Linked DNA regions of Drosophila melanogaster. The protein of the gene in region 2 interacts with the protein of the main gene of each other region in a pairwise test. Each region holds a gene or a part of one and is shown on either strand. Other genes may lie near its edges.

Region 1 (11,270 bases), on a different chromosome or scaffold from region 2:
CCCCACGCCGTGTCTGCTGATTTTCTACCATATCGGATGGCGGCGGGTCATAAATGCCATTAGCATGAGTCCAGCCAGCAGTGTCCAGAATTGGACATTGTTTCTACTGGATGATCCGATGGCCATGGGCTGGTTGCATCCATCGTCCTGGCACAGCTGGCATCCGGCCACCGTCCAGTTCTCGAAGAGACCATCGCATCCACCCGTCTGATTGCTCCTCCTGGCGGTGGTGCAGCCCCTCTTGGTGATCGTCGATTCGTTAACTGTGGAGCAGGTGGGTTTGAATAAGGTTTGAATAAATCATAATAATAATAATATTTTCCTATCTATATACAAATCATTACATCTAGTGCATTTCAGTTTGCACTGTGTGCTATTTTCGCATGACTCAGTCGTAGATAACTTATCGCCATGGGTGGGGGAGCATCACACCAGGCGGCGTTTTTATGATTTTTATGATGCACACCCATGGGAATGGGCGGCAGTTGCTTACGTTGGAGCCTCACTGTGTAACAGAAGGCAATTGGCACATCGAGATCGACCTGTCGTGCATTCGATCTCCGCCTGCGTCGCTCCTCATCCTCCTCATCTTCGTCCTCTTCCTCCTCTTCGCTTACAACTTCTTCCGCTGCTGATCCATCTGCTCCTCCAGCTGCTCCTCCGGTTGCTCCTCCAGCTGCTCCTCCGCCTACAGCAGCTGTTCCGGATCCTGCTGGCATGATGCCTATGGTCGCCGATTCTTCGCTTTCAGAGTCCTCTTCCTCTTCGCTGGCATCGGAGGAGGAGAAGGAGCCAGGAGCACTATTTGTATTATTCGTTTCAGCTGGTGATGGAGAAGGAGCAGGATTTGGTTTCGTGCTGGAGTTGCCGCCCATCAGTGGACTCTCACACACTTCCATTTCACTTAGCTGCGTATTTTCATCGCAGTCTTCACATTTGTAGCAACGCAAAGCTGGGCAAAGAAGAGATTTTAAATAAATATTAAGTAAAAATAAAAATATGCCACCTTGCTCATAATATCATCTTTAATATGGATCTTTAAATCATTTTAATATTTTTGTTAGTTTTATGCCAATAACATAACTATATGCATAATATGAAATGCAAAATAAGGTTTAATTCACAGTGGAAATTCACAAAAGGAAACATGAACCTATGACCTTAAAAGGGCACCCGTGAGGGTGCGCCTTATCAGCTTCACCTTATCAGCTGGATTACCCAAGCAATAAGCGCACCCCTCTGTTTGGTTCAACGTTGCGTATGCGCAACTTTTTGTAACTCGCTTCGGGGTCAATCAATTAGCATACGGTGTAGGGCTTACACCACTCGATGATTTATGACATACCTGAAACACATGGGCCGCAGCCAACGAAAGCCACTAGAAGTAGAAGCCACAAGGAGCGCATTCCGGGCAGGTTTATGATGGGGTGGTGAATGGGGAGTTTAAAACTTTCAATTTGCCAAACGTCAAAGTGTCAGAGCATGCAACTTGCCCAGATTGAGCAGCCTTCTATGGATATATTTTCTATAAATTTATTTATTTTTTCACCGCTCCAACGTCGTCGTGTCAGCTACCGAAAATTCAAATTGAACTGGCACAAAGAACCTTCCGGAGTCTGCTGTTTGCTTCATCAAAAACTGAATTTCATAGCCATAAATGTGGGTTTGGTGGACTTGTGGGGGGTTGACACATGATTTGCGGGGCTGGTGAAACATGTAGTTCACGGGAAGCAGGAAAAAAAAACTACATACGACATACGATAGCATCGGCCCAGACTTTCAAATTAAATGCGAGAGACAGGGAAAGCATGATGGAGCGACAGAGGTCGAGCTATTGATAAGCGGGCGTAGGAGGCGGGAAAAACTGAAGCATCTTTTACATGAGTAATGGGAAAATTATCTTTGATTGCGGAGCACAAGTCCAAAAAGGAGCAAAAGACAACAAAAACAAAATATTTGATATGGGCTGGGAGTTTTTTTTTTGTCACTCGAAGAGTTGGATACCGTTGAAAAGATAGAAAGTAAGTTAGAAAGTAAGAGGTATTACGAATATCGCGCATACGCTCTGTTGGCCTAACGCAACAAACAAATATAAAAATAAATATAATACAATAATTTCATGGCAATCAATATTCTTGTTATGAATTGAATATACTTTTTATTGCATTGATACTTTTTTCCAAGCTCCAGTAACCCAGATACCCTTTATCTTGATGCCAAGACTGTTATAAAAGTCATCGTTATCGGCTATTAAAAAATTCGCACTCCAAAATCTTTTATACTGTCATACAGCATTTATTGTGTGCTCGGAATGTTCAATTTAGTTTCCATTTCAAAAAACGCTTACAAACTAAGCAGAACTGAGAGCTCGACGCGTCGCAAAAAACATATGGTACTATATAGTTGTTGTTTGTTTTTAGCCGATTTGAAGCTCACGTAATAATTGTTGCATTGCTTTTCGTTGACATTTTCATCTAATTGCACATTTACTAACATTTATTGCATTTGTTTCACGTGATTCCTAAATTCGCGTCTTGCATTAAGTTGATTGTTTTTGCTTGCGGCTTTTACAGTCAATTTACGTACTATCAAATTTTCAATATTCTAACACGAATTCATTGACTAGGACATATAAGCACTTTGGAATCATTTAGCACTTTTCAATTTACCTAAGAAATTATATGAGAATTAAAGGCAATTGGTGAATTCCTATGCACATCGCTCCAAGCCATTAAAACTAACAATCTGAATAGTAACATAATAAAGCTGAACAACAAGAGCTAATGGCATAGAATGCCATTTTTATATTGATATATAGGATGTATGGTTAACACATATCCCTACTCTTTATTTTGCCGGTATTTATTTTGAAAATCGAAAGTTTCATATTTGTTTTGAATCAAAGCGAACTTTTCCGTGTGTGTTTTCCTTCCTCTTGTATGTACTGTATCGGTGTATCGTGTGTGTGTCTGTGCTGTGCTTACATTTCTAGGGTTAAGGGAGTAGGGGGTTAATGGGGTTAAGTAGTGTGTGCCATTGAAGCAACCTGTACGAATCAGCGACATTGCACTCAAATATTTACAAAGTAATCAAAACCTAAATGCAACCATCATGCCACCACTCGTTTCACGGTTATCTGTCCATATCCCTCACACACCATCCAACTGGCTTAGCAGCCCAATTGGAGCGCAATCATGGCCAGAATCGTAGCCAAGGAAAGCGTTACGGCCGCCGCACCATTGCAGCGATGCGATTTACAGATGCCGCAGAAGAACGCATCCTCTGCGGAGATTTCGTCATCCTCCTCCGCATCCTGGCCGTGACCCTTCCTTCGCTTGTTTTGGTTGCGATTCCGCTGCTCCCGCTCCTCGGGGCTCGGGATGCGAAGCTTGGTACGCAGGATCTCGCAGGCATCCGAGTCGCCGGTGTCCAGTTGGCAGAAGCGCGCCGTCACCACTTTCCTTGTATCAGCTGCGAAAAATAGCAAGATATCGAAATTTAAGAACTAGCTCAACTTAGTTGGGTTTACTTAAATTCACTTGATTTAAATATTTATATACAATACATCTATATATACAACTATATTTAAAAGGTTAAAATCTTAATTGAAAATTCAAGTGATTTGCTCATAAATTAAAATGACTGTAGTACAAGTAAAGTTCTCGTAATTTAATTTAAGTATTGATGTTTTAGAATCCTTAATATTGCCAAAGGAATGTAACAAATAAACTTAATTGCTATTGTCATAAAAAGTAAGTGCTTTGAATAAACAATCTGTGTCATGTGAACTATAAAATTTTTCGTTATCTTTAGGGCTTCTTTTATTGACATTCTACAATAGTCGCACTGCAAATTGCAGCTTTATTTCTAACCATTTGATAAGAATCGCTTATTAGCCATAAGAATGAGTCAAGTTGCTGTAAAAATGTGATACCATTACTCAAGTGAATTTAAATCTATGTTAAAAATATTAAATTATATTTGAATATATTTGATATTTTATACTTCCTAAAAAAATACTCACGGTCTTTGGCCACAACTTTTTGGCAATTCATGAGCGGACTTTTGTTGGCGCCATTATCGAAATATGAGAACTTATTCAAGTCAAATAGCCAGGTGTCCAGCGATTTCATTTTGTCCAAAGTGCATTCCTAAAAAATATTATCAGCAATTTAATCCGGGGAACAACGAATGCCTATTGTTTGGTTAATCAAAGTATTAATTGCCATTGCACTCGATGCGTAAGTTATTAATCTTATCGACGAATCATTCGGCCATATCGTTAACGATGCGTTTTCCGAATGGCCTTGGTATCCAGACCAAGACCACTTGAACTCTATTTGTTTAGCCCAGATAAGAAGTGAAATAAAACGATTCTTGGAAAGGCTTAGGCGTTAAGGTATCAGCTTTTTTTTACCGAGAAAGGGGAAAACCCCATTTAAGTTTTCAGCGATAAAGTGGATAAACACCTTAAGTGCTCCATTTAATAGGAATAACTAAATGACATTGTCACATTTGTTGTTCTTTTTGCGATTTAAAATCTTCAATACGATCAGACACATAAATTGAGGGGATTATTTTGGCGCATCTAATTTGATTTTGAATTATTTATTTTGACACAAAATTGAGTTTCGCTCACAATACAAGATAAGATTTCCGTAATTAATAATTCAGGCCATTAATAATCAGAACATTTTGCGCCATTTGGCTGTTTTGTGGCTGATTATTCACATCTCTGATTTGACAAATGAAATAAATTTTAAGAATTTACTTGACGTCTCTAAAAACAAATTTGGCTATCATTTCCAGCAATGATAAGAAAGTCGCACGGGACTTTCAGCGAGTTTGACACTGAGTTTTTTTTCGATGTTCTAGGAAAGTTATTGTTTTTGTGGAAATAAATCAATTAACAGTTGTAGTTTTACCAACTTGATTTAGTGATTCATTAACTTAAGAAAAGAATAAAAAAAGTTATTTTCCGATGTCAAAAACGTTTAACTAAGCAGAAGAAAATTCTAGACCACTTAAGAGTCTGGAAACTTCTTTTTCATATCCCAAAAGCTTTGAAACTATGTTCTCTTGATATTTATTTTTTAATGGTTTTAATTAAAGTGCTTGGCAGTAGTTTTGGTAGCATTATAAGCCAGTTGAGCTCAGGTGTCGCCACTTCAAATCAAAGTAATTCTACCAACGGGCAACTAGACACCTACAAGAACCTGTCAGCTTGAAATTTACGTTGTTGGACTTTGGTTGAAAGTTGAAAGTATTTCAACTGTTTGGCACGTGGCCGGGTTAAGTAGCAGTCAACTAAAAACGGCGATAGATGCCAGTAACAGAAAATTCAGTTAGCCTGAAAAAAAGGGGAAAAGTGGGTTGCCACCACAAGAGGACGACGACGGAGCACGTTTCCGTTTCCGCTTTTGTGGGCTCCATTTCCAACCGTTGCTTTGTACTATTTTTTTTTGTATTTTGCTAGTGCAAATTTATGTGCCATATAGCTTTAACTTGCGACCGTCTGGGCCAAAGCTTTTGACTAAGAACTAAGGTCGATTTGAATGCGATTAGGTTTGAAAAGGTTGAACCAACTTGACCTGGCAACCCAGTGGCCCGCCAACAGGTCACAACAGGCCAGTAATCAATCAATCCTAGCAATCTGCTTTCCAACTCACCTCCGCCACTATGCTGGAATTCGAGCCCAGATCGGCGCAACTGGGATTATCACTGGAATCGCAGACATAACACCTGATGGCTGCGCCTGTGGGATATGCAATATACATTTGTACATTTTATCATTTTAGGAATTTCTGAATTTACAAGCCCAATAACCGCAGGCAACACACACACACCATTTGAAACGAGGGCCAATAGCGCCAGTGGCAATAGGATTCCCGGCATGATTCACACAATAATTTCCTTTCTTTGATTTATTCCCTTTTCGTTGGCAGATTTTTCAAATATTTTCTGGCACTCGCGCGCTGTGATTTTCTCGAATTTTCCGCTCCAAGACGTTCGGGAGGTTCTGTCGCTGCCGTTGGCCAAAGGCAAACTGAAATTGCTGGCCAACTTGGCGAAGGCAATTGCCAGCAAAAGGACGACGACTACGTCATCGTTTTTGGACCGATCCGAATCGAAACGAAACGAAACGAAGCGAAGCTGCTCGTCCTGCGTCCTTCGTCCTGGGATCCCTTTTGCCTGCGTGGGTGCGTCGCTTGAGTGGCTCCTGATTCCGACAGTAATAACGTCTTGGCCGCCCCACATGGCAGCAAAGGAAAATTTATTTAAATTGCAAAATGCGAAATGCACCAGCCCAAACCAAAGATGGCAACTACTCGTCAAAGGAACAGCAGCAACGCGACGGAAAAAATGCAATTTCCTTGTGGCCAAACACTTTTGGCCTCTGCACCGCGGCTCAACACCAAAGCCAATAAGATATCATGGCGAAAAAATTTGAATAATAAAGTTTTATTTCAAAAAATAACTGAGTAAATAGAAAATATTGGATAGCCATATGCACAGGGAGAAACTGTTCCTCTTAATTTGCAATGATTTTCTTTAAAGTTATGCATCACAAAAATGTTCTTATTAAGTTAAGAAAAGTGGTGAAAGGTATTTGTAATTGAAATGCTTGCTACTTTTCATATTCGATGAAACTTTTTAAGTGCCTTTCAAATTATAACAACACTATCCTTTTAATAACTTCAGTTCGTAGTTTGCCACTGAAGCTCAAATTAAATTATGTATTCATAAAAAAAAGCGCGAAATGAGTAGTTTTGCAGCTCCAGCGAGATTCTGCTAGAATATGAGTGCCTGGAGTGCAGCGAAAACGTGGGAAAACGAACTGAATGAAAAGGATGCAGGAGGGTGGTGGGGGGTAGATGCCCAGAGGAGATTGGGTGGCAGCAACAAAGCGCAGCAATTAGTGGCATCCAAGAGCGAAAACTCATCGGCGTTCCTGCAATGCGGCTTCCCTATTCTTTTCCCTGACCTCGTCGCATGGCCACAGGACGACATCCCGGGCGTGGGCGCACATTTATCGCCAGCTCACGGTTGTCCTCACATACAGGAAACCGCATCGCCACCAGAAACGCCCCACTCCACCCCGTATCCGAAACTGAAACCGAATCTCAGCTCTTTCATATCTCCCGCGGGGCAGAGCAGCTGGCAAGCGTTTCCATTTATCATAAACAATGCAGACCGTGATTGGTGTAGGTCGCGACCCTGGCCCCAAAAGCCCACCAAAAGGGTTAGCTAATGGTGCCGCTTGTGTTTCTGGTGGATAATAAAGGAATAGTCGCGTGGCTGCAGGTGGTTGGGGAATTGCCTTCAGGCACTCACTTTGCAGCAGTTTAAAAGCAATCTTTAAAGCTTCAGTGGATCTTTAAGGAATATTTACTTGTTTTTTTAACCAAACCATAAGCTTATCAGATAATTGGGGCCCTTTCTCTAGAAAAACAACTAATAAAAATCTAATTCAAGCAAACAACGCAAGACAAAACTTGTGGAATGTTAAAAGTTTCAATTGTAGCAACTTTATTAAAAGAGCTAAGTCGAAGTAATCCACTCCTGCAACTCCCAGCGGAATTTCGAATTAGCGCCAATTGCAATTATCCTTTGGAGAAGCGTAGTTTCACTACTTTTCGCTGGCCGTGGGCCATAAAATCGCAGCCTGTTGCACAGGGAAAGGTAGAATAAAAACGAAATCAGAACCAGACCAATTTCACTACCAAATAAGGTTGCTAGTGGCAAGGACACATTCTGAGCTTTCTGGACAATGACGATGATGGCATCCGAGTGTTGATGTCATAATTCCCGAGGTGTTCGGTGAATTCTCCGCATCGCATGTTGCCACTTCATTTGCTAACAGCAACAGGACATAATTAAAACTGTTTATGCACGCTTCCGTTTCCGGTTGGCATTTCATTTCACTGGTTTCCCTAGAATGTAAGGCATTCATATGCTTTCGACTTTTACAACTTGACACATTTTCGTTGGAACTCGACTTCGTTTTACAACCTTTTTATCTTTCCATCGAACCGTGCAAATCGGAAAATGTACTTTTTCTCTCATTCTTTTTTTCCAGTCTGTTTTACCATGGTCATAAATTTTGTTTTGCCAAAATAGTAAAAAAACGCAACAACATTTTTTTGGGGTCAAAACTTTGTGCGCTGTTGTGGATTTCCACCCACAAAATGACCTTTAATTAGTTGAAATTTTCGCTTGGCATGCTAATTGAAAAACTTTTTGCTTCTCCACCGCATTGATGAAATATTTACGGCTGTGTAGTAAAACTGTGTCAGACAATCCTATCCAGACGTACCCAGTTGAAGCTATATAGTCACAAAAGAGAACCCGAGTCGGTAAACGTTGGACTTCTGTGTTGACTCTAGTGTAATTAAGCTTTATTACGTATACGCACCGTTCCACGCACTTTGCCGCCGGTTCCCGTTGCCAATTAGTTTGTTCAACTGCCAAGGACGTTGGATAACCAATTCCAGTTAGCTGCGGTGCTACCAATAAACATAAAACTTTATCGTTGCCTATATCTAGCAGCTTCTGGGCAAATCAATCGCTTGCAAATACACTTGCAAGTGGTGGAGAGTAGGAACATAAAAAGAACTGCTTGCACAATTGCAAAAGAATCCTACACACAGTTCGTGGGGATTATTCTGCACTACAACATATGTGTGTGCTACCAGTGAAGGTATTTTATGGCTGATTGGGGAATTCAACCGGCTTAAACTCAAATATAAATAAATTTCAATTGACGTGGAAAACTACTTTTCTGTAGTAGCATGTAATATATAGGTAAATGTATTTGAAAGGATAAAGCTCTTTAAAATGGTTTAATTTAGGTAAACCGGTTAATCTAAGAGGTGCCCATCAATCTACTTATAATATAGCTATAAGCTAATCGGTTCTGGTATAAATCCTTGTTATACCATAAAATATATGTATGTATTTAATTTACCTATTTCCCTCGGAATCACTTGAACAATTGCCAGGCCGATCATCTCCGGAATGCTGAGCAGATGAAATCAATTTGGCAGGCAAACAATGCCCAAGTACGTAATTTTTTCCAGCAATCACTTGCACTTGACTGCCATCGCCGTTCAAGCAGCCTCAGGTGGGCCGAAGGCAAAAGGAAAATCGACCAGGAAAATGCAGAGATTTCCTGCTACTTTTCTCGCTCTAAACTTACCACGAATTCACAGGTCAATGAGCCAACGGAGCACGGAGCATGCTGGGCGAAATGAAAAAGCGAAGCAACTCGAAGAACTATGGCAGCAATTTGTGGGTGTCTGCCATGTGCTGCATGTGCCACAGGAATTTGGGAGCAAGTGCAGCATGGCATCGCCACCATTACCATTATCAACAGCAATCAGCTTTTGAGAGTTCGTGACAAAGACAAAATATCGTTGCATACTTCTAGGTGGCTAGTGAAAATATTTACTTCGCATTGCGTATACGCCACGATGGCTGCGAAACGTGACTCAATGTGCGCTTTGAATAATAAAAACATATTTATGTGCCTTTGGCAAGAACAAAGCCAAGTATAAATCATGCAGCTGATTAACATGCGGAATTTGCGATTCGCTCTAAAATGCTAACAAATGGCAAAGACAAGGAAAGCTTTGCTGAGATTTACCACTGGCAAAACAAACAAACAAAGCTGGTTTAGTTCAAATAACCAGCATAATCAGCTTAAATTTGCTTTGTGTGCGAAGAGCAAATAAAAGCAAAGAAAGCATTCAACTCGATTTTGTGACACCATCCACCGCAGAATAAAGAATTGCATTTTTAAATTATAAACAAAAACTTGAGCTTCCATTAATTATAAACCACATTTACCACTGCTATGTGAATAGAAATTCCAACCATAAAACAATGGACATTGGATTGCATACATATTTGCGCAATGGCTTGCACAAAATGCCAGAGTCCCCCAGACAATGACAACTTTATCCACTTGAGGGGTTTTGTTATTTTTCGAGCTGCGCCAACCCTGCGTATGCGCAATTTGGCGCGTAATGACATTTATTCCAGCTCGCTTTTATGATGCATAATGCGAAGTGGCTCTCAAGTGTGAAAAATTTATGAAAAATATTTTTAAGGTAAAATTCTAACTATGCATATATATTTAAGAAAATGTATAAAATATATTTACTACATATGAGTAAAATCAATCTAAACATTTGAACTTATTTCAAGATAAAGTTAAAGTGGAACTAACTTCTATTTAAGAATTTAAGGTTTTGTTTAATATATGTTTAACCAATACCAATACTACACATCAAACAATTAAAGATATTAGGAAATTGTGGAACAGCCAGTAACAAGCAGAAATAACAGTAATGAATGATTTGCGGAACGTTTTTGGCGAGGGCGCTCATTGAATTCAAAATCAATGTTTTTTATGTTGGCGCCACGCTGTCCACGAAAATAAAAGGAAGCCAACGTCTGAGCAGACAGGAAGAAAGGCTGCCAATGAGCCTGTGGAGGATGGGGTGGCGGGGGGCGTGGCCGGACCAGAGGGTGGATGGCTGGATGGGCGGAAGGGGGCGGGGCGGATGCTGTTGCTGTGGCAGTGGCAACAAGGCGCCACTCGGGCGGCAGACGCACCCATAGACAAAAGCTGCAGAGCCATTTGAGCAGTTGAGCATTTGAGTTGGCGACGACAGAACACAAATGCTAACGCATGTAGGTCGACCAGAAGTTGTATTTGTATTTGTATTTGTATCTCCTTGCGCGTATCTGTGTGAGCGTATTTTTATATCTGTGTGCGTGTCTGCGAAGAACAAACAACAACGCTCTGCGGCGCATTAAAATCAAATAAATGAGCGGCACGCTAAGAAATCAATTTATATGAAGGTTAAGTTCAATCATATAAATTTGCAAATATTTTGAAATACTAAATATAGGATTTTAAGTAAAAAAAAAACTTAATAATGCCCTTTATTGCAGCAAAAGATCCTTCCCCTAACTAAAAATATGTTACATATATTATTAGCTTAAGCTTATTAGTAAGCTTATTATATTCTCATTTCACACATTTGAAAGAACGTCCTCGTTTTCCGTTTTCAGTGTAATCCTGTGTTTGACTTAATGGGCCAACATGTCAGGGTTTCATGCTCATCCTCAACAATAAAACTAACAAAGTTGCCCTATTATTTTTGGCCTGCGTAGACAGTGACTTTGACTCTGGGCCACAAAACAATTTCTGCAGACATTTTGGCAGCAAGTAACTGGACGATAGACAGAGATAGAGCACA
Region 2 (8,616 bases):
ATCCACAGGATGGGCATGTCCTCCTCCGCCACGTGCTCCAACTCCTGGACGAGCGGCGATATCTGGGTGCGATAGTTAACGATTTTATGGTTCCGACCGTACAGTAAACTGCGCTCCGCCGGCGTAAAGCTCAGATACTCCGGACGTGCCATAACAAAGTGATCGGAACGAAACAGACGGTTCATTTCCATCTCAATGACATTGTACGCACGGCGATGCATGCAGATCCAAACAATCTGGGTCATCACGGCCAGAAACTGCTCGTGGAAGACGCGGTCGCGACTGGTATCCGAAATATTGATAATCTCCTTCATATGGTAGTATTTGGCCATATCGCCCTCTCCCTTCAGAATCACACTGTAGTTGCGGGCCACCAGGAGGCGATACTGACTGAGATAGATCGAGAATGTCTTCTTCATATCGATGGTCTGATCGCTCTGGATCTGATCGGCCAATTCGTCGCGCCGCACCAGCACAAACTCCACCATACGCAGAAAGTATTCGAAATAAATGATGAGCGCATGGATCAGACGGTGAACCGCCGGGCGGTGCATGAACTCCACGAACCGGTAGGTCAGAAAATCGCTGGGCATCAGGAAGAGGACCAGGTCACGGATGTCGTTGATCACCAAGGTGTCAAAGTCATAGGTGCCCGTATCCCGCACGTAAGCCTGCCGGAAGATAAGCTCCTCCTCCTGGTCGATGATGCGCAGGAACTTATAGCCATTGGTGGTGATGTAGCGCTCCCTGGCATTCTCCAGATCGTTGTGCGGCTCGAATTCCAGGCAATCCTTTTCGGCGCTCCAGGACCACTTGCCACTATAGTACTTCGGTGTGTAGTTGTCCACATGGACTCTCTTCATGACTCAGTCTTTTTTTGAATATTTTTAATTATAATTGTGTTTTTAAAGGTTTTTTCTGTTATGTATTTCTGTATCTGTTTCTATAATTAGTGGTAAAGTGTGTACAAAGTTAACTGACAGAATTTAAAATGAATTTTGATTACAGCATTCGCAAATATGAAAATAAGCTTTCATAAAGCATGGCAAATAACTTTTAAAATGATTATAATGTATTACATACTCGAAAATATATTTGAATTTGTTTGAATTGATCGACAAGTAAATGAATTTGCTTCTTTAACGTCTTTGGTAAAATAAATACCATTTGTTAAAGGAAGCTAAGAGTGTGGTGCTTGAAGCCATAAGCTTTAATTTATAGTCAACATTTGTATAGAAACACAGAAAAAGCTTTCATGTTTTTTATTGTGGCACTTGGGGCTCCGGATTAACTTTAGCTTTAAGTTTAAATAAATTACTTGCTGTTTTCGAGCATTACAAATTAAACAATTCACTAAATTTACAACATATTTTCGACTCTTATTTTATTGCTTCTTAAAATTTTTAAATGCATTTTTTCTATTCTTAGTAACAGTGTAGTCTAGTTATATTCAAAGTAAAAATATTTTTGAAGTGTTATCATAAATGATATTTCATTTCAAAATTTAAGCTCAGATGACAGATAACTTTTTTTCATTCACACTTTTTAAAATGGCCCCTTATTATCACAGATAATTATTTAGTGAATGCCTGTTTACGCTTTTCAAGTGACACATTAAGTGGTGCTTTCAAACTAAATGAAAAACAACTTGGTCTTCTAGATAGAAATTAATGTTTAGTTCTTTCATCTTAATGAACTTAACTCGTTGCAAACGGATGATAGAAGGGGCTCAACAAAGGAGAAAAGAAAAGGAACCATAGTTATTTGCACCATTGTTTTCTTTGACATGTTGTCAACAATTCCAGGACTTGTTAAAACGCCGCTGAGCACTTAACGCTTGAAAGGCTCACATAAAAATAGGTGGACCATCTGCCTTTTAGCTTGAATATTTTCTATGTCCGGAAATTTTTTTATTTTCTGTACATTGGAAATAATAGTTCTAGAAGTTCCTGGTACAATTCACACAGTCCTTATGAATGTAGAACTGGTTTGAAATTACTTGGAAAAGGACAAGGACAATTCCCAGCTGCTTCTTGTTCTTCGGAAAGGGCTTAATATGGACAAAAAAAAAATATGTTGGACGTAGTTAAAGAAAACCTTAAGAGGGAAACGAAAACTGAAAAAATCATAATGAAGAAGTGAAAATACAATGAGTTTCGCTATTCCTTTGAGAAAAAATTCATTACATAGGAAATTTATATATTAATTATAGCTATGATGTCATTCATATTGCATCATCATTTGTTTAAAAGTAATTTATTGTCTATTAATTATGTAAAAATTTAAAGGGGCGGATTCCTATGCACCTTACTCCCGTTCTTATACAGTAATTTCGAAGGATAACTGCTTAAACAAACGTTTGCGATTAACATGCGTTAAGTACACAATTTCAGTTACATATGCATAAATAAGCATTTAAATGCGCCATGCCCCCCATGCGTAAATAATTTAATTGCATGCGAGTCGTCTCGAGTGTTGGCATACAAAATAAATTGCAATTAATACTCGATACGAAATCAACAGCCAGAACAGGTGCTAAAAGTTGCCTTTAATCATATTGTTAAATGTGGAAGCCCGTGTCGTGGCACATCACGTATACGCAATGTGGTGCAGAAGGCAACAGCATTTAAGCCAGAAAGTCACGAAAAGGGAAGGGAAGAACAGGAGAGGCGTGAAAATCTGAAAGAGCTGGAAAACCGGCAATAGCAACAGCTACAGAAACTCATCCAGATGTAACTCCCTGCTTTGTCGCCTGAAATCGTGCTTTGTCCTTCGCTCCGTTCATCTGGCTTCTTGAATGGCTCAGTCGGCGGCATTTATGGAAGTCTTGGTTTTTGCCTCGGCCTTAGGCAGCTCCTACCATCGTTGCTAAATATTTATTAGCCCTCTGATTTATTTGTTCAATTGCATGTCGCACGGTTGGAGGGCCACGGTATGATTTTGATGTAGGTACGTGCCACATAAGGCATATTTAATGTCTTCCCCCACCGAATGGTGTTTTAAATTTAAAATTTTTGCCGTAGGTAAGTGCTTTACAGGGCTTAAACATTCGTTTCTATATTTACCGCAAATGTCCTGCTTTATTTAGAAATACGATTTTAAATAATTAACCCTCTTTGAGCACACTTGCCCGGCTCACATGTCTCTAATAATTTCCTTCCCATGAATACTTAATACGTAGCCCTATTATTAACTTTCAAGGCTAAAGATTTGACAAATGTAAGCTGACACCCCTGATTAGATAGGGGGAATGCTTAGTGCTTATTAATAGAATGCAAGTATCTATTAAGTATTATTGTTGCTCAAATGCACAAGGATCTGCCAGTTCAATCAATCAAACAGACATTATTGATGGCACTTCATATTTCGAGCCATTGTCATGACAACCTCAGATGGACGTTTTAATTGGTTGGATAAGTAAATTACATTTACATTTTACATCAATTTTCTGCGGCATTAACAAGGTTGGTTTTTCAATGAAAGCATAAATAAAACATAAATTAATAGATCGAAATGGGAAATGTACGTATTGATACTAATTTATATAGCTGTCACATATGTATTCTTAAATGTATTTGCCTAAGGATAAATTCAATTCTTCCGCTTCAATAAATCTGTTGTACAGTTCACAGCTAAATTCAACTCATTCGAGCGTCAATAAAATCCGATTGTCCTTCTAATTGGATTTACTATGACTTCCTTACGGCACTTTGCCGTAATTTGCCATTTGTTCGTGTTGTGGTTTTCCTGGCTATTGGCACTGTCAGTTTAAATCTCTTAAAAGTTATTGTTGCTCTGAGTGGCAGGCCGATTGATAGGCATTTGTAGGATTTTTAATGCCAAAGCTTATTATGACAGCAAACTGGGGTAATAATATCGAGAATGCCCAAATTTCCTGATGCTGACATTTGTGTAAGCACGGTTTTAGATAAATACGCATATTGTCATCGATTATTGAGGATTAGAGAGCAGGCGAACAAAGCGCGATAATCTCTGACTCAATAACATATTCTAAAGAAAGCTAGGTAATAAGACACCACTTGGTTTCCTCTCCTCCAGGCAAGTTTTTTGCCCGACTCATGTTTATTTAATTCCTGACTTTGTTGTTTGGCTTTAGGCTGTGTTTGCCAATGTTTCTGCACGTGCTGGCTTTTCAGCGGCAGAGTCTAATTAAAATTCAGTAAAAGCCTCAGCCACAAAATGGCCCAAAAAGTTGGCCCTCAGCGCACACAGTTCGCCAGAGCTGAATACATATGTAAACACATCATCAGGTGCAAGGTGGGCCATCTTAATGAGTCTAGTGACAACGCAGCACGTGTCATTGATTAGCACTTCAGTTCTGGCCAGCATAATTCCCATTTAATATGCATGAGTATGCATATACTGCGCAGTGGTTTCATTAACAGAATTATACATCCAATCGATTCGTTATTCCATCACATATCAACACTAAAAAGTATCAATCATTTAACTGTATTAGTTTCAGTAGAAAAATTCCAATCGTTTATTTCAGTAGATCTAAATTGTAACATAACACTTTTTGCCCACAGTACACCCACCGCCTTGTTAATCAAATATATTCATATTTAATATACATGTTCATAGCACCCAGCAGGTTCCCACAACGGGGGTGGTGGTATCAACGCGCAGAAAGATGAGCAGGCCAAATCCCACGCCACGTTCATCGACGGGTCTACGCAAACCGACTGGTCAAAGATCAACACCTCCACCCAGGCCACCACCTCATGTTCCCGCTCCTGCTCCACCACCGCATGAGCCTGCGAAACCATATGGAGAATCCCCGGGCCTGCTGAGCCCGGTCGCATCGTCGGGTCCTTTGCGCCAACGCTCTTCTGTGCACCTGAGGAAGAAACACCTCGGTTGGGTCTACTTGATCCACGCGGTTCTATCGGCAAGTGCAGTAATTCAGCTTGTGGTCCTGCGGCTCTGCAATAAGGACTTCGGGGAGCTAATTAGCCCATCGGTGCCCAGCTTCGTGTGGCTGCTCCTGGCCGTGGGATGTGTGCTGATCATGGCCTACGTGTACCTGGCCAACCAGTGTCCGTGCAATGGTCTGCTGGCCATTGTCATCGTGGAGGTGATAGTGATATTTGTGAATTGCCACCGGTGGGCTCGTCTATCGATGCTCTGGATGACTGGTGTCCTGTCACTCGTGCTGGCCCTGAACGTCATGCTCTACTTGATGGGCGTCTATCTGCCGCTGAAAATACTGCCCGGTAGCATCTTCATGATCGTCCTCACATTCTGTTGCATAGCGATTGTCGTTTCGATCTACTTGATTGTGTATCTAAACGGCAATCGCTATATAATGCGATACGTCTCGATGGTCAGTCTGATCTACGTGGCTAGTCTCATCCTCTTCACCATCACCGTTATCCACCAGCGAAGATTCGAGCATACGGATCGCACCGAATATGTCCTGCAGGCCACCGTTCTGGCCATGCTGTTCGTCTATATGATTCACCCACTCTCAACTATGGTGCGATTTGGGCAGTTTTTGGTGGACCATGTATAATATAAAATTGTTGGAAGTGTATCATCATCTCTAATATAGTCTTAAGAAATGTAATATTGCCCAAATTCCTATATATACATATATATTGTAGCTTATTAGGTGGCTTTATTATTGTTAGTTTTAACTGGTTAACTAATAGCAGCAGGCTTATACAGTTCCGTCATGCTTTTATAGTTCCGTAATTTTTTACAAATTTATTCTTATTTGCTGACGTGTGCAGTTGTTTTGACCAACATTGGCAAGCCTTTAGGCCGCCGGGTTCAGTTCGGAATCCGGTTATCGAACTCTCATCCAGAAGGATGTTTGCATGTGTATTCATGAAGTGTGTATGGGTGTAGTTGCTCTTAGCGACAAGATCCTTTTTGTGGCCATTTCGTGTTTTATCTAAGTCCTTCTAGCCGATTACACAGACAGCCGGACAAAGGGAAACGGAAAGGACCCGCGGCAGAAATGAAAATAAATAATACCCGGGCCCAGCCATATTTTTATGAATTTTTCCATCTTAGCCCTTTGCAGTGCAAGGATATTTTTGGATTTGCCTTCGTTTGTTCACTTCAATAATTCTGAAATCATCCATATCCTCTCCTAGGGCCACTCAAAGTTGTATTTTCAGTTTGGGTTCAACTTATGTTAATTTTATAAATTCCATTTCCGTTGAATCGCTTTTAACTCTTTAAAAATAGTTTTCCACCAGCAGTGGCAGCAGCAGCAGGATAATGGCCTCCAGAGGGGCTATTTTCACAGACGAGAGTTTTAGTTGTTTACTGAACCACAAGTTGGACATTAAAATGCAGTCCAAGGGCAATGTTTTTTTTTGCCGGTTGTGGATGTAAAACAGTGCGGGCTTCTGTGAGTCCAAAACATGCATAGTATTTGTATAAAAGGTCTCGAAATTGTTTTGAAATAAAATGCTGTTTGTCTGCGACTGGTTTTTCATTGCCAGTGTTTAAATTTAATGCATAAAGTTAGTTAAATTTAAAATGTGGTTTAAGTGTATAATACTCTTAAGGGTTAAAATTCCTTGGTTTATATTCACCAATTAATTAAACAAAAACATCGTCCTTTTATGGTAAGCTTATTATTCATTATAAGTCATGAAAATAGATTGCCCAAGGTGGACATAAAAAGTTAGGTCAATGATTAACTTGACATCAACATGGTCGTTATAATCATCAAAGCAATGTGCTCCATGAGCTCAAATTAATCATTCAGCTGCAATGAATTCTTTGTCTCGAACCTTTGTTCTGCACATGTGACATCTGTGAAATTCCGTACATTTCGGTTCAAAAACCCATTTTCTCCGCTCCATTATGCAAAAAGTTTTTTTTTGCGGCTGTTCCTTGTGTCTCCGAATAACGAGAAGCGAATCAGCCGAGACATCAAATTAATTCATAAAATTGTCCATTTGTCCAACATATTGTGGCCAAGATGCCGGACGGATTTGGTCGGAATCTACGGCAATTAGTTTCACAAGTGCCGGACTCAACCATAGGGACCGTGTCAACCAGTGATGCGAACAGGTAATTTATAAAACATGCTAAAAGAACATGGTTATTGAGGACAGCCTCACTTTTATCCCACACATCGAAGCCAAAAGTCAAAAAATTATTTAAAAATCTTTAATATAACTTCATCCTGAAAAAAAAAATTTCCACACTAGTAGTGTTATGTTATGTTGCCAGATCCTCTGCTGCAGGATTTTTTTTCCCTATGACAACGCTTAGGATTCACCGCTAGAATGCCATGAAATCAACATTGCGATATAATAAGCCAACGGCAGGAAGATGAAGTATGGGTGCACAACTTGGATCCCAAGAGGCGGATGCCATAAAACGTGGAACACGTCAATAGTTTCCAGATGTCTGGCGAGGGCAGGACTTCGAGGAGGGGTGTTGTGCTCATGTCAAGTTATGGGTCTGGATGAATTGAAGAAAGTTGCCAACTATTCGACAAACGTCGGAACAGAATTCCTTGAGAAAGACGCAGTAGCTGATAGATGAAAGTTGAAAGCCACTTTCTCCCTGGGGGGCTTTAACTCCGCAGAGAAACTACTTTGACTTCAAAAAGTGTATCTTTAAATCATTTACATAAGTTATGGCAAGCTCCATAGTAAAATGTTTGCTTAATATTTTTAAAGAAAGTAGGCACACACCATATGAATCGCTTGGGGCTTGCTGTACCCACAAGTTCTTGGTGATAATTTCATTAAATTTGCGGAATGTTATCAATACGAACTAAATTCCGCCCTCTTGAGCAACGCAAACTCTGTTAATATATATCAAAACTTTGTTCAATCTAAATTTAGATGGCAGCGAACATCATTTGAGCAGTACAATTAAAACTTTAACGATTATATGTTTGTCTTGCCAAATTGATGCGCGCCAAACTTTTCAAATACCAAAATGCCTTGGCCTTTACGCCCTCCTTGTGGCATCCTCGTTCCTTGGGAATTTGTAGGCTTGTAGACGGATTCCCAACATGAATATCAATATTGACTTCAACTTTCTTTACTGTGCGAATGCCGTAGGCGACTTCTGGGTCTCCAGTTTAGGCCATTTAATTGCCAGACTCTTGAGCCGAGTGAGGCACTTCGAGGAACCTCCATTTGGGCTGGCTTCACTTCTGATAAATGAGCTTAATCAGCTAAAGGCAGGCACTTCCACTTGGCAGGTGAGATTTGCTGAGGCTTGGCGACAAGTCCCGATACAGGGTTTGATAAATTAAAACACTCCTGGCAGTCGAGAGGCTTAAATAAGGCCAGGCCAGAGACATATTGCCATTTTATTTGTTTAACTTCGGGAGGTATTGTTAAATAAAAACTGAGTTGCTGCCAGGGGCAAATATGTTCATCATTGACGTCAGAGTCGGTGGGTTGAGGTTAATCAGATTTAATCCTGTTGTGAATGCCGCTCAGCTTAATGCTGCCAAAGCTACGCTTATTTATTTCATAGTGAAATGTGATATGACTAAACTGTGTGCCATATGGCAAAAATTTGATTGAACTTTATAACTTTAAGTACACATTTTAAAGCATGGTTTTTAGTTAAAAATGTAATAAGTGTTGTAATAGCTCAACATTA
Region 3 (11,845 bases), on a different chromosome or scaffold from region 2:
GAAGAAACTCTTGAAGAAATTTAAACTGAAGCTAAACTTAAACTTTTCTCTTCTTCGATTCTCTTAACTGTGCTGCTTTCTTATGTATGTAGTTATTAATTATAGCATTATATATATTATCCAATATATATATACATGGATGAATTAGCGTAAAAACAAACAAACAAAAACAAAACAAAAACCAATATGAATTCAAAACTTTCACGGAGATCTCATAGCAAAAACAAAACGAAATGAAAGAAAAGAAAAGCATAAAGGCACCGAAATGCCAAGGCATTGTGCAGCAAAGTAGAGTTTCTTTTCAACTTTTGTTTATAACTAAAGTTTTTCTTAACCTTAAACATATAGAGTACAGATTGTTTTCCCCCTCATTTGACCAGAGACAACCGCTCGAATTAAATTGACATCAGCATCGACATCAAAATCATTTACATCTATAAGCACATACTCCCCCGTAGTGGTACATATACAATACGACTACGCATACGGATAGTTAGTTTTCGTTCGGTTTAGGCACCGTGTATATAGCATTATCTCCTTATCTCCACACCCCCACCAATAATTAGCCCACATCTCTCTCCTTAGCTCAGTAAGACGGTTAGCTATGAGATAATACGAGTACGAGATAAGTAATGGACATGTACATTATACTACACGAATAGCACAACCCCCGATTGGAGCAGGTCTGAACTAAAACATAATGTAATTGACACAAGATATCGGCTCATATGGGCCCATATAATTTGATTGGCGACTGTAGCGCCTATTTGAAATGAGTTCATAAGTTAAGGATCAACTGTAATTGTAAACTGCATTAGTATTTGACTTGTAAACCGATTTTAAGGATCATTCTTAACTATATATACTAGATACGAATTACGCATTAATTTACGTTAAATGAGGATAAAACGAAAAATTGTGTAAACTGTTTGTATAAAAAATAAGAACAAAACAAAAAAAAGAAGAAAACGAATCCATTTTGTTTTATTTATTTATCGCATTACCTAAAGTGGATCCAACCCAACCCAATGCATTTGCTAATTAGAATTTATAGCCATGTAACACTGCAACCCCAGACAACTAGCACCCACTATATACGATATGTGTATGTATATTTATGGACAATATTTGAGATTAAAACACAACACACCACACACCAACAATTCTTCAAGTTTGTATTAGAATACAGGTACAAAGACAGCATTCCATTGAATACGGGATACCTAAGGATGCCATGTACATCATAAACTTTGAATATAAACCAAATATATGATGATGAGACTCTCAGGGGAGAGAAGTCTATTGAAACCAGAATTGGTCAAGATTGGTAGAATAAAACATAAAAATGATTGCGCTCAGGTTATTAAATGTAAAAATTACAAAATACTCCTATATACATATATGAAATAATCCCAAATTCGCATAACATATAAATAACCAACATATATGTACGTTTACCATGTTTAACAAAAGGCTGTTTGTAGAAATTGTGACACAGTTTTTTTAACCCGAACCCACTAACCCACATCTAAACGACGATTAACCAACTCGATGTGTAAATGCAAAATGGATAATTGAGCATCTTCGACTCCACAGTGAATGTAGTTCTAGTTGCTTACACTAACCAGACAGAAGCTGGCTGCTTTGTGCACTCCAAAAAATTATGTAAATACTAAAGAAAATGATAAATAATAGTAATAATCGTCGTATATAAATTTAGAGAAAACTTTGTGATTGCTTCTCATTGATGATGATGATGACATAACTGTTTCGTAGGACAACATTAAGGCAAATATTTTTTCTTATAAGTAGCATGTAAAAACACTCGATACGCTAACCGACAAAAAGGCAAACGCTATAATGTAGGACACTCCAAAACGTAGTTAACAAACACGATTTAAAACCATATAAAACACACCCTATACCCTCTAAAAAAAAATCGATGGCAAATGCTTAACGCAAAAATATGATATACGAGTTATTGTATGTGTACGGGAAAATTTGCTAAATGTTGTAAAAAGTATATATTACTCGATTATAATGTAGCACTCGAAATGGAGTCACTCCAATCATGTAGAAATCCTCATCCAGTAAAGGCACGCAACAAAGTTCCCTAATACTTTACACATAATTTGGTTTCCTTGACCCGCAAGCTAAATTAAACATGAAGTGTTTAACTGTATATATGTAATGTATTAACCACATTAATCGGATATACTAACTTAAAACGAAACTGAGACCCAAAACATACACGTGTAGTGGTAAATGGGCCGGCAAGAATTGTAAATTACCAAATGCAATCCTTTCTCCAGGACGAAGTGAAGCTGCATAATTTACATGGAAATCGTAAAGACACACTAACCATTGTATTAACTAAACTAAACCACACTAAATAAAACCGCATTAGACTTACTAAATATTATTATAACGTAACTAAAAAAAAAAAAGAAAGAAATATGGAAGAAGAGAAACCGTAAACAAATGCTTTCAAACTAAATAAAGTTCTTTGGAATTACAATGCAAAAAAAAAAAACCAAAAAGATAAGAAAAAAACACTAGTGTTATTAATTGTGGGTCGTGGTAATATCCCCTCGTTATATACCTTCTTATCCCAAAAATAAGACTCTTAGACGGTTTATCTTTCTGGCTTAAATCAAGCTTTCATATATTCAATATAGAAAGAAATTCAATCTTAATTCGTTTTTATGGCTCAACTTTTACAAAATCTACCCATCTCCAGGTGGGTAATATCAAATTTCTGATAAGCTTACATGTCTAAATGGGGAGCTGCTTCAGCTCTTACAATTGGCTTAGAAATTAAATTGGTTCTGCTTCAGTCTTACACAAAGTTATGAAATGCCTTTGATGTATGTATGTGTATGTACGAAAATAAAGGGAACTGCTTCACATGAAATGGAAAATAAACGCTGTGCCCGAAAATACTGATAACTAATCCTTGTTGCCGTAAATACTGTAGCTCTTCTCCACGAAGATCTGGATGGAACGCTTCACGTTCTGCTTGTGGGGCTCGGGCAGCTGTTCCAATTTGGGTAGGATTTTCATTAGGAAGCGGAAGTCGGGCGATAGATTTATGTTCGTCTCGATCTCATCCGAATTCATTGTCAGTTCCGAATTCTCGGACTTTAGGATCTTGGTATTCTGAATTGGCAGTGGCATCTGAATGGATGAAGGCACTGAGCTTGGTGTGGACGTGATCTTTGCAAAATTAGTTGGATTCTTTTTGGGCGGCAATGTTATATGTGGTCTGGGATTGTTAACCACCGGCTTGGCTTTAGTCACCACTGGAGCTGGTTTGATCTGCTTCTGTTCTTTGTCCTGTATGCGATTCAATAGCTCGGGCAGTAGTTTCTCCAAATGCTGGGTAAGATTGGTCTGCGGCTTGTCGGCCATAATCATTAGTTTCTTGCCCGCCACATCTTTATCCTGCTCCACAACCACGAACATCTTACGCTTCTTGGGCTGTCCATTTGTCTCCAGAGTCTGACCTTTCGTCTCATCCGATTTTTCGGTGATCACGTACAGTTTCCTCTTCTTGGCTTGACCGTTCTCCAAGCGGTTCAGTCCATTCTGGGAATCCTCTAAGGCTGATAGTGGTAACGAGGCTTCGTAGTCGGAGTTTATGGACAGCACATCGCTGGAGGCCGAGGAGCTAATGGAGTGGGAACGCTGTGGCATGGGCATAATGCCGGTGTTGGGCTTCTTGGCCTGATGTCTATTGGGGCTCTGCAAAAAAATGCGGTTCATTAAAATACATTTATAGTGGTATATATTTATATATGCATACAAGCAGTTTTAACCATATCTTTAAAATATGAAATTTAAAGAGAAAGAACGTTGAAGGGTTCTCTGAAATTTTAAAAGTTCAGGATCTGTCGCTATTCGTTATAAAAAATTAAACTTTTACGGAATAAATAGCTTTGTACGTATTTTTTTAAGACATGCTTGTATTGTTGTTAAACTAACTCTAATAGCATGCCCGTTTTTGGAATACCATTTAATGCTCAAATACCTATACGATTTATTTCAATTGGTTAATAAACAACGAAAATTGCGTTACGGAGTCTAAAACATAATTTCTGTCTGAACTGAAATTTAGCTTGGGTCAATTACCAACCCCTATGAAAGCTGAACTTTTGTTTTCTTTTGTGCTGCCACTCACCTCAACAAGTTCAATGGTGGTGCTGCTGGCCACCGCCGACTTGACAGCACCGCTCCCAGTTCCTGCACCTCCTCCTCCTGCTAAGGCGCCTGCAATGACCGACCCTCCAGCGGCATTAATGGGTAGCACAATGCCCTTGGAGGACGAGGACTTGCGCAGCGGCGTCATCTTGATGCGGGTTTTGGCCATCTCCTGGCGTTGGCTAAAGTGTCTGGAGCAGATGCGCAGCTTTTGGAGGCCGCCGAGTTGATCCACCAGTTTATAGCTGACGCCAAAGTGACGCAGCCAATGATTGCAGCTGCACGTAAATAAGAAAAATAAGATATAACGACTACTATTACTAACCACCGAAAGCTTAGTTCAGTACGCTTCTTTTGGAGGGGGAAAAAGCTTTTCACACATTTTCCATGTTAACGCAAAATGGAAAACATACCAATTATTGGGAGAACAAGAGTCCACGAGCTAGTTGCGATCGGTTGCGCAGTTCTTTGTTTAATGATTAAACTGACAAAATGAAACTGCATTGGAGTTTCGTTCTGGTTCTTGCGACGCTTTCAAATTAGATCCGACTTTCGCTCTCCGCTCTCTTTATCGCTCTCTCTTGGAAAAGTTCTTGAAAAAGTTTTCGCTGCAATTAAGCTCTTTTTATGCTTCTTTTGCGAGTGCGAACGAGAAGCAACGCTTTCGTACGCTCCTTCTCGCTCAGCGGAAGTTTCGCGGGGAATTGTTATTGTTTGTTGTTGCTGTTGCTTTTGCTGCAGCTTCTGCTCAACTTCCCCCTATTTTTGTTGTTTCTGCCGATTTGTGGAAGATGGGGGAATGAGGCTTATTTTCTTTTTGCCTTATGCTTATGGCTAGGCGAAACAACAACAACAATTAAGGCCTTTAGGGTGGACCGAATGCGAAATTATTGTGCAGGTCAGGGACAGCAAAATCATTTGCCTACTCATACCATATTTAATCTGACTTACTAGCCAAGTTTTAAATAAATTTTAATCGCTTGAAACCATTTTCATAAGAATGGTTTATGCTTAACTTACAAAACCAACGTACAACTGTGTGAAATTAAAATTATTGTCATAATTCACTTTAAAATTTCATACTATATCTTGAAAATTTTTAAACGGAACTCAATGACTACAGTTAGATAACCAACTATTATAATTAAACTTAGCAAACGTCATTCTTATTTCGATTTTGCTTATAAAAGTGACTTTCACTTTTTTGGTCTCAAAGTACATTTAGTGATAATACCGACGAAAGGTAAAATATGAGCTTTCCTTGATAATAAATAAAGCTTAACATTCTGGGGTTTCCTCGGAAAGAGGAAGAATTCGCTTAACAGTGGTCCACTCTAAACTCCATGGCCAATGCCAAGTAACTTTGGCAGACGGAACTCTATTTTTTTTTTTTGCGCACCAACTGCAGAAACTGGAGATGAAGAAGCAGCAAAGAAACACAAAATAACTTCACTTCACGGCCAGCAGAGCAGAGCCCCACGCGCATTTGTTGCATTTACAGGAGAGCGTGAGAGCTATAAATAAATGGGAGTCGGAATCTGGGACCTATCCCCCGCCCACCCACTGCCCCGCCCACATCGGCATTATTGCATTTCTGATTGCTGCACTGCACAAGTTCTTAGCCGCCATGGCATTGAAATATTCCTATGAAAATGATGCACTTTTATGCGAACCGAGAAAAAAACAGAGAGACAGAGACAGAGAAAGAGAGGGAGGGCGAAAGTTCAATGACCTTTGACTGCGAGTATCGGTATCGGTATCAGACGAAGAAGAGGAGCACCGAGCGGGGTCCAAAGCTTTGGATTGTTATGGCTTTAATGGTATGGTGTTTAAAATATAGAATGAGCACTTGTGATTCGCAACAAAAACAAGCTTCGGTGATCGAATCGATCGGAAAGCTCTCCGTAGGCTCTAAAAACAGGTTTAATGTGGTTCTTGGCAGGAGGAACCTACATATGTATGTATGTATGTGTATAATACTCACCGATCGGTATCGTGGACTGGAAAACGACGCAGATCATTGGGCTTTACATCCTGGCAACCCATCAGACAAATCCTGGAGGAAGGTGGCAATACTGGTTCCGGCCCATTCGCGCTAGGATTTAGCGACACAGCCTGGCAAATCCGAAGAGTGGTTATCGTATTCGTCATCTATCAAATATTATTTTAAAATTGGATAAAATCACTCATTTTAATTTAAGGTTATTGCTTCTTTTATCATTTTATTAATAAGCTCTAGTTTAGAAAACCATTAAAATAAGTACATACATATATCTTATTTATTTTCTTATTTTCTTTCTTGGAATAAAAGAAAACCTAGAGTGACCCCAAGAACTTTCGCTCTGGCGAATAAAAGCTTGCTTTGCTGCACGTAGAAAAGCACCAATAAGATGCACATCCACGGAAAAGCTTTTTTGGATAACTTGTGCTTGCCTTTCAAAGCCGCGTGGTCTTACCTTTTACAAAATACTTTGAAATTAAATATAAACATATGTACCCCACATCGCCATTATTTACCTATGCTTATCTTAGGAAAACAGATACATATGTACATAATGAACTCACCTGTCACACAAAGTCTCCTTTTCTCTGACCGGCAGTTCTGAGTTTAATAACCCCACGGCAAGAACTCTAGGTGAAAGCTTTCGGTTACGGAACTTTGAATACAATTGGCGCCGGTTTAAGCGATCGCAGCTAGATACGATTAAATGAAAAGGGCATCTATCTTCTAATTAGCGGTATGCTATGCGGCTCCGATTACGATTCTGTTACGTTCTGCATTCTATACTGCGCTACGTCACTCGTGGGAGCAGACTGTCGAAAGCTCCGCCTGCGTCACGCGAAGGCACCGCGCGAAGCTCGGTTTGGAGAGCGTCTCTCCAGCTTTGTCGAGCTTTGTGCCCATGCGTGCGAGATCTTCGCCGGAAAGCTCTGACAAATTCGGAATCAGGCTGAGATTTCAATCGCGCACAGTAAAAACTACCATTGAAGGACATTAAAAAATAGGTATTTCTTTTATGATTTATTATTTTAATGAGTCATATTTAAAATAATAGTGTTTTAAAGAATAAAGTACTGCGCAATGAATATGTATCAAATCGAAGAAAATAATACTTCAACTACTACTTAATAATATGATGTCTGCGCACCTTTCAATTACGCACCTTGTAGTTGATTGTATATAATATATTAATTGTACATTGCAATACTTAAATACCACTTAACTCTAGTTTTATATGCTTTTCGAGAAATTAGCATTTAGATAGCATTTTTGCTTATCAATTATCAATTTGTAGTGTCATAAATTTGCAACATAGCTAAGCCGCCAACTTTTCCATCCCATAATTAATTAAAAGTGTTAAAAGCTTTCCATAAATAAAGATACCAACAGCTGCAGGTGTTGCTTTGGGGCGTGCGTTCAAATGATTTTTGTACATTAATTACGGCCGCACAATTCGCGATTGGCAGCCTTCATTTGGATATTTAAAAGCCAATCAATTGGCGGTTCGACGAAGTCATAAATTTCAATGGGCGCTCATCAGACGAAGGAGGCAAGCCCCTCGAAAAAAAACAGGGGCGTCGAGCCGCAGATAAGCATCCACTTGTCACATCACTCATATTTCCAAGACGTCAATTTGCATTGTCTGTGGAAATTGCAGCCTGCAGCTTGCAGCTTCTTGCTGTCACATGCCAATTGACCCATTCGCCTGTTATGGCCAGGCCAGCCTCAATTTCTCAAGTGCTAAAGCAAATAAAACTTTAATGGCTAGTTTTACACTAGCCAAATTGTCAATTGTCGTGGCCAGTTGATTGCGTTTTACGACCGACAAACAGCAGCATAATTACGGATGGACCTGCACTGTTTTTTCCCAAGAACAATTGTGAAAACACAAACTACTGAGTGGGCCGCATTCGAAAACGCGCTCAGTCAGCATTTTAATTTCTGTCTGATTGAGCCGAATGACTCGAGCTGGCGATGAATGTAGAAGTAGAAGTGTTTGCAGGCGATGCCAGACGGCGATAATTCCCAAGGGGGCCAGGCTTGATCATCGCCTGTGTGGTCTCGCTGTATCTGTCGGTCTGCCCGACAGCCGGGGGCAATCGTTAACTGGCAGCCGATTATGTGATTGGAATATTGACAATTAGGCGGTTACAAATTGATTTACTTGTAATTTTTCTGGCGCCCCTGAGAGGGAAGCTGGCTCGTTAAAGCAATCTAATGTATGCTCCAAACAAATGGTGATCATTGTGAGGGGCAAAAAAAGTTTTAGTTGGAAAAATTAATCGTTTTGCTGAATGAAATTGGACAAAAAATCTTTGTCAGAAGTGGGATTCGAACCCACGCCTACAGAGTAGACTGCGACCTGAACGCAGCGCCTTAGACCACTCGGCCATCCTGACTCTCAAGAGCCGTAAGATCAAATTTTCTTTTGGTTGGGGACCACATACTGAAACGGTTCATTCTCAAAACTGAAAAGAAGTGTGTGTTTAGCACAAGTAAAAATAGTTTAATTGGTATTAGAAAAAAATTGTGGAAAATAGAATAAAAGAGTATTGTCAGAAGTGGGATTCGAACCCACGCCTACAGAGTAGACTGCGACCTGAACGCAGCGCCTTAGACCACTCGGCCATCCTGACTGTTAAACTAACGAGTGCCAATTTCCAGTTTGGTCAAGAGAGAGTATATTCTTGATTTAATAATTGTAAAATACTTTGGATTTTAGAAATTTTTATTTTTGTAGCTCAAAAAATAAAACGAAAAAATGGCAAAAAGTTCTTGTCAGAAGTGGGATTCGAACCCACGCCTACAGAGTAGACTGCGACCTGAACGCAGCGCCTTAGACCACTCGGCCATCCTGACATTTGTTGTTCGGGTGTCAGAAGGCCAATCCGATTCGCTGGCATTGTACTGCGGCAACATTAAGTATACGCCGTGTATTACGAATGTTTGAAAATCACACTTAACACTTTGAACTTGCTGCCCACACTCGAATGCACTCCCGATGAATTATTATAATCGGCACCCCTGAGGCAAAGACAAATTGCCGTTCGTCGCGGCATGGAAAGGTGTGTACGGACAGACAAGACACGAAATCAACATGCAGGCGATGGAAATGATAATAAAAAGCAGGCGAAATCGGGTCAACGTCATACATCACACTGTGCAGATTGGCAAGTGTCACTTTTTTTATATATTTCGATTTGTTGCCCAACAAATGACAGGCAACAAAATGGCGATATTCATCGCAAAGGTTGCTTAGGGGGAGCTGACGATCGAAACGGGAGTAATTAAGTTGTAGTTTTTCGGTTAGCCAAACTGGCAAAATGTCAACTAGCCCAAAGTGCGGACCGCTTGACATTTCACACGCAGCTGCTGTTGCTGTTACTGTTTTTGTTTATGTTGTTGCTATTTGTTTGTATATTTTTTATATATGCAGCATTTACTGGTCGCACGCACTTTCAATGCATTTCAATTAGTTGTAGCCGCAGCACAGCCGCTCCACTTTGACTTTGAGTGGCCGTACTGGACTGGATATTTTCCATTTTTACAGACTGATGGCAGACACTTGATAGGCCTGAGCGTATGTTAATCGGCCAACTCGACCTGACAGCCCAAGTTAATTAAAGTTTTCGCTCCCAACAGCCACCCAGCGTACATAATTCCCATTAATTTGCTAGTTAGCAACGCAGCCACTGCAAAGACCACCTCAATTGCAGTCGACTCATTATGATTAATGATCGGCATGTACAAGAATTGTTTGAGGACCGCGGTGACCCACAAAAGGCGACACATTTTCCAAGCGTGGCCAACTAGAAATAGAATTAGCAAATTGCCCGAATGTCAATCAAGCGTCATCAATCAAAATTTGTGCTACTGTCAACTCGATCACAATACAAATATAAATAAGCGCAGCCCAGCGGGCTGCAACAGTTGGGTGCAGCTGAAATATTTAACTGGAGGTTGTAAATTACCATAACAATTCTGAATTCGGTATTCTGGGGAGCTATGTATGTGGGTCAACCAGAGGAAAATCCCCTCCCGGCCAAAACCCCATGATATGTCAGCAGAGTTGTTAGCACAGCCGCACAAAGGTTAAACTGAGGCATTGAATGGTTTTCCAGCTTCGAACTGATGCTAATGGAGTTTGGATTAAGTTAACACCCGATTACCTTGGGCCGTCTTTCCATAAGTTCTTTAGAGCAAATCATTTAATGAAGATATTGTCTAATTTCCGAAGATTTAATCTGCTTTAGCATCAGGCGTTTGGGGGCTGGGAAAAGTGTTTAATTCACGGTGATACCAAGTGACAAATGGCTATTCCACTACAGTGGACAGCCAAACGACACGCGTTTATGGCCGCTTTGATTTATTGGGTTCTTTAATATAATTGCATTCATATTTAAATGGGGTTTTGAGCTGAGAAACAAACTAATCTGAATAGTTCAGTTTTATGGAAAATAATCGTTAAGGTTGTCGCTTTCAAAAACTAAATGATTTATAAATCAATTATTATAAATAAATTATGAACAAAACTAAAATGATGTATAAAGTTTAGAATTTGCCCATTCCACATTTCAATTAATATCCGAATCCATATGAAAATCTCCCCATAATATTTCAATTAGAGTTCTATTGATACAACTCCGTCGTGGCAATGCTCCTTTTCAAGTTCAAAGTCAAAAACAGCCAAAAAATAAATACGTATTTAAATTGAAGGAGGGGTCTAAACAAACCGAAGACTCTGTGGAGCATTAATCAATTGTGGCTCACTCTTCTTTTTGCCCTGGCTATTTTGTCGCTATACTTTTCTGCCAAATTTGAGCAAAGCTAATTAACAGGTTTCATTGTCTCGACTTTGGCGGCTCTGGCGAATACCATATTTTTGTATTTTTCCCATTCTGTTGCTCAGTGTTTTTACGATCGCAATAAAACAAATTATTGTGGGGGCGTGTTTGTTGTGGGAGGGGAAAAAATACGAATTTGCATATGTATATGTATATGTATGTATATGTATATGTATGTATGTAGAATGGGGTGGAGAGTTGCAGGGGGTGAAGTCCAAAGAAAGCACCTGCAAACAAGTTGTAGAAAAAAGCCAGTTCCAACTGCTTGTCTTAAACACACTTAATTAAAGATGCAACTTGTGGTTCTTAAACATTTAAGTTCCAACAATAACCCACGCAGCCATGGCGGCAGTCATTAAATGGCAATTCACTTAAGGGCACTATTTAAATCTTAAAGTACTGTCGATTTATTTATTATTTAATTTACTTAATTTACGTATTCAAGTTCTCATTAACGCATTAAAAAATCAAGATATTGAAGAATTTTTTAAATTTATCTCTTTCCAAAAAATGTTTACATATTAATGCGATTATCCTTATCATTTTTAGTTTTCTTATTAATTTTCCACGTTTTGCATTGCACGTGCAGCGGTTTCAGAGAATCAGAGAAAAAGAGACGGAGAACAGATAGAACTCTCCCACGCATAAAAAATTAAGAAATTAAAGCAAATAACAAACACAAACAAATTATTTCTCTCTCTTTGTTTCTCTGAGAGCACTTCTGCGATCAGTGCTGCCAATTTTGTCTCAAATAATATCTGTTTTAAGTTACGCTAATTTTGTGGTACATTTTTTTCAT

The links.
Region 1: the proteins of CG4073 (region 2) and witty interact in a two-hybrid assay, tested with the Drosophila melanogaster proteins (one large-scale study listed by BioGRID).
Region 3: the proteins of CG4073 (region 2) and bip1 interact in a two-hybrid assay, tested with the Drosophila melanogaster proteins (one large-scale study listed by BioGRID).

What each region holds. Positions count from the first base shown.
Region 1 is NT_033779.5:8,333,065-8,344,334, reverse strand, and holds witty (without maturity), read right to left. Parts: upstream 6,049-11,270; 5' UTR 5,896-6,048; coding exon 5,847-5,895; intron 5,756-5,846; coding exon 5,670-5,755; intron 4,152-5,669; coding exon 4,025-4,151; intron 3,472-4,024; coding exon 3,170-3,471; 3' UTR 2,279-3,169; downstream 1-2,278. Other genes in the region: CG14273 (uncharacterized protein), read right to left, coding at 25-263, 494-952, 1,346-1,406.
Region 2 is NT_033777.3:10,710,277-10,718,892, forward strand, and holds CG4073 (uncharacterized protein), read left to right. Parts: upstream 1-4,521; 5' UTR 4,522-4,654; coding exon 4,655-5,536; 3' UTR 5,537-5,625; downstream 5,626-8,616. Other genes in the region: CG14689 (uncharacterized protein), read right to left, coding at 1-863.
Region 3 is NT_037436.4:8,051,696-8,063,540, forward strand, and holds bip1 (bip1), read right to left. Parts: upstream 7,019-11,845; 5' UTR 6,766-7,018; intron 6,399-6,765; exon of another isoform or gene 6,352-6,398; coding exon 6,185-6,351; exon of another isoform or gene 5,806-6,184; intron 4,681-5,805; exon of another isoform or gene 4,614-4,680; intron 4,514-4,613; exon of another isoform or gene 4,479-4,513; coding exon 4,181-4,478; exon of another isoform or gene 4,106-4,180; intron 3,745-4,105; coding exon 2,950-3,744; 3' UTR 2,638-2,949; downstream 1-2,637.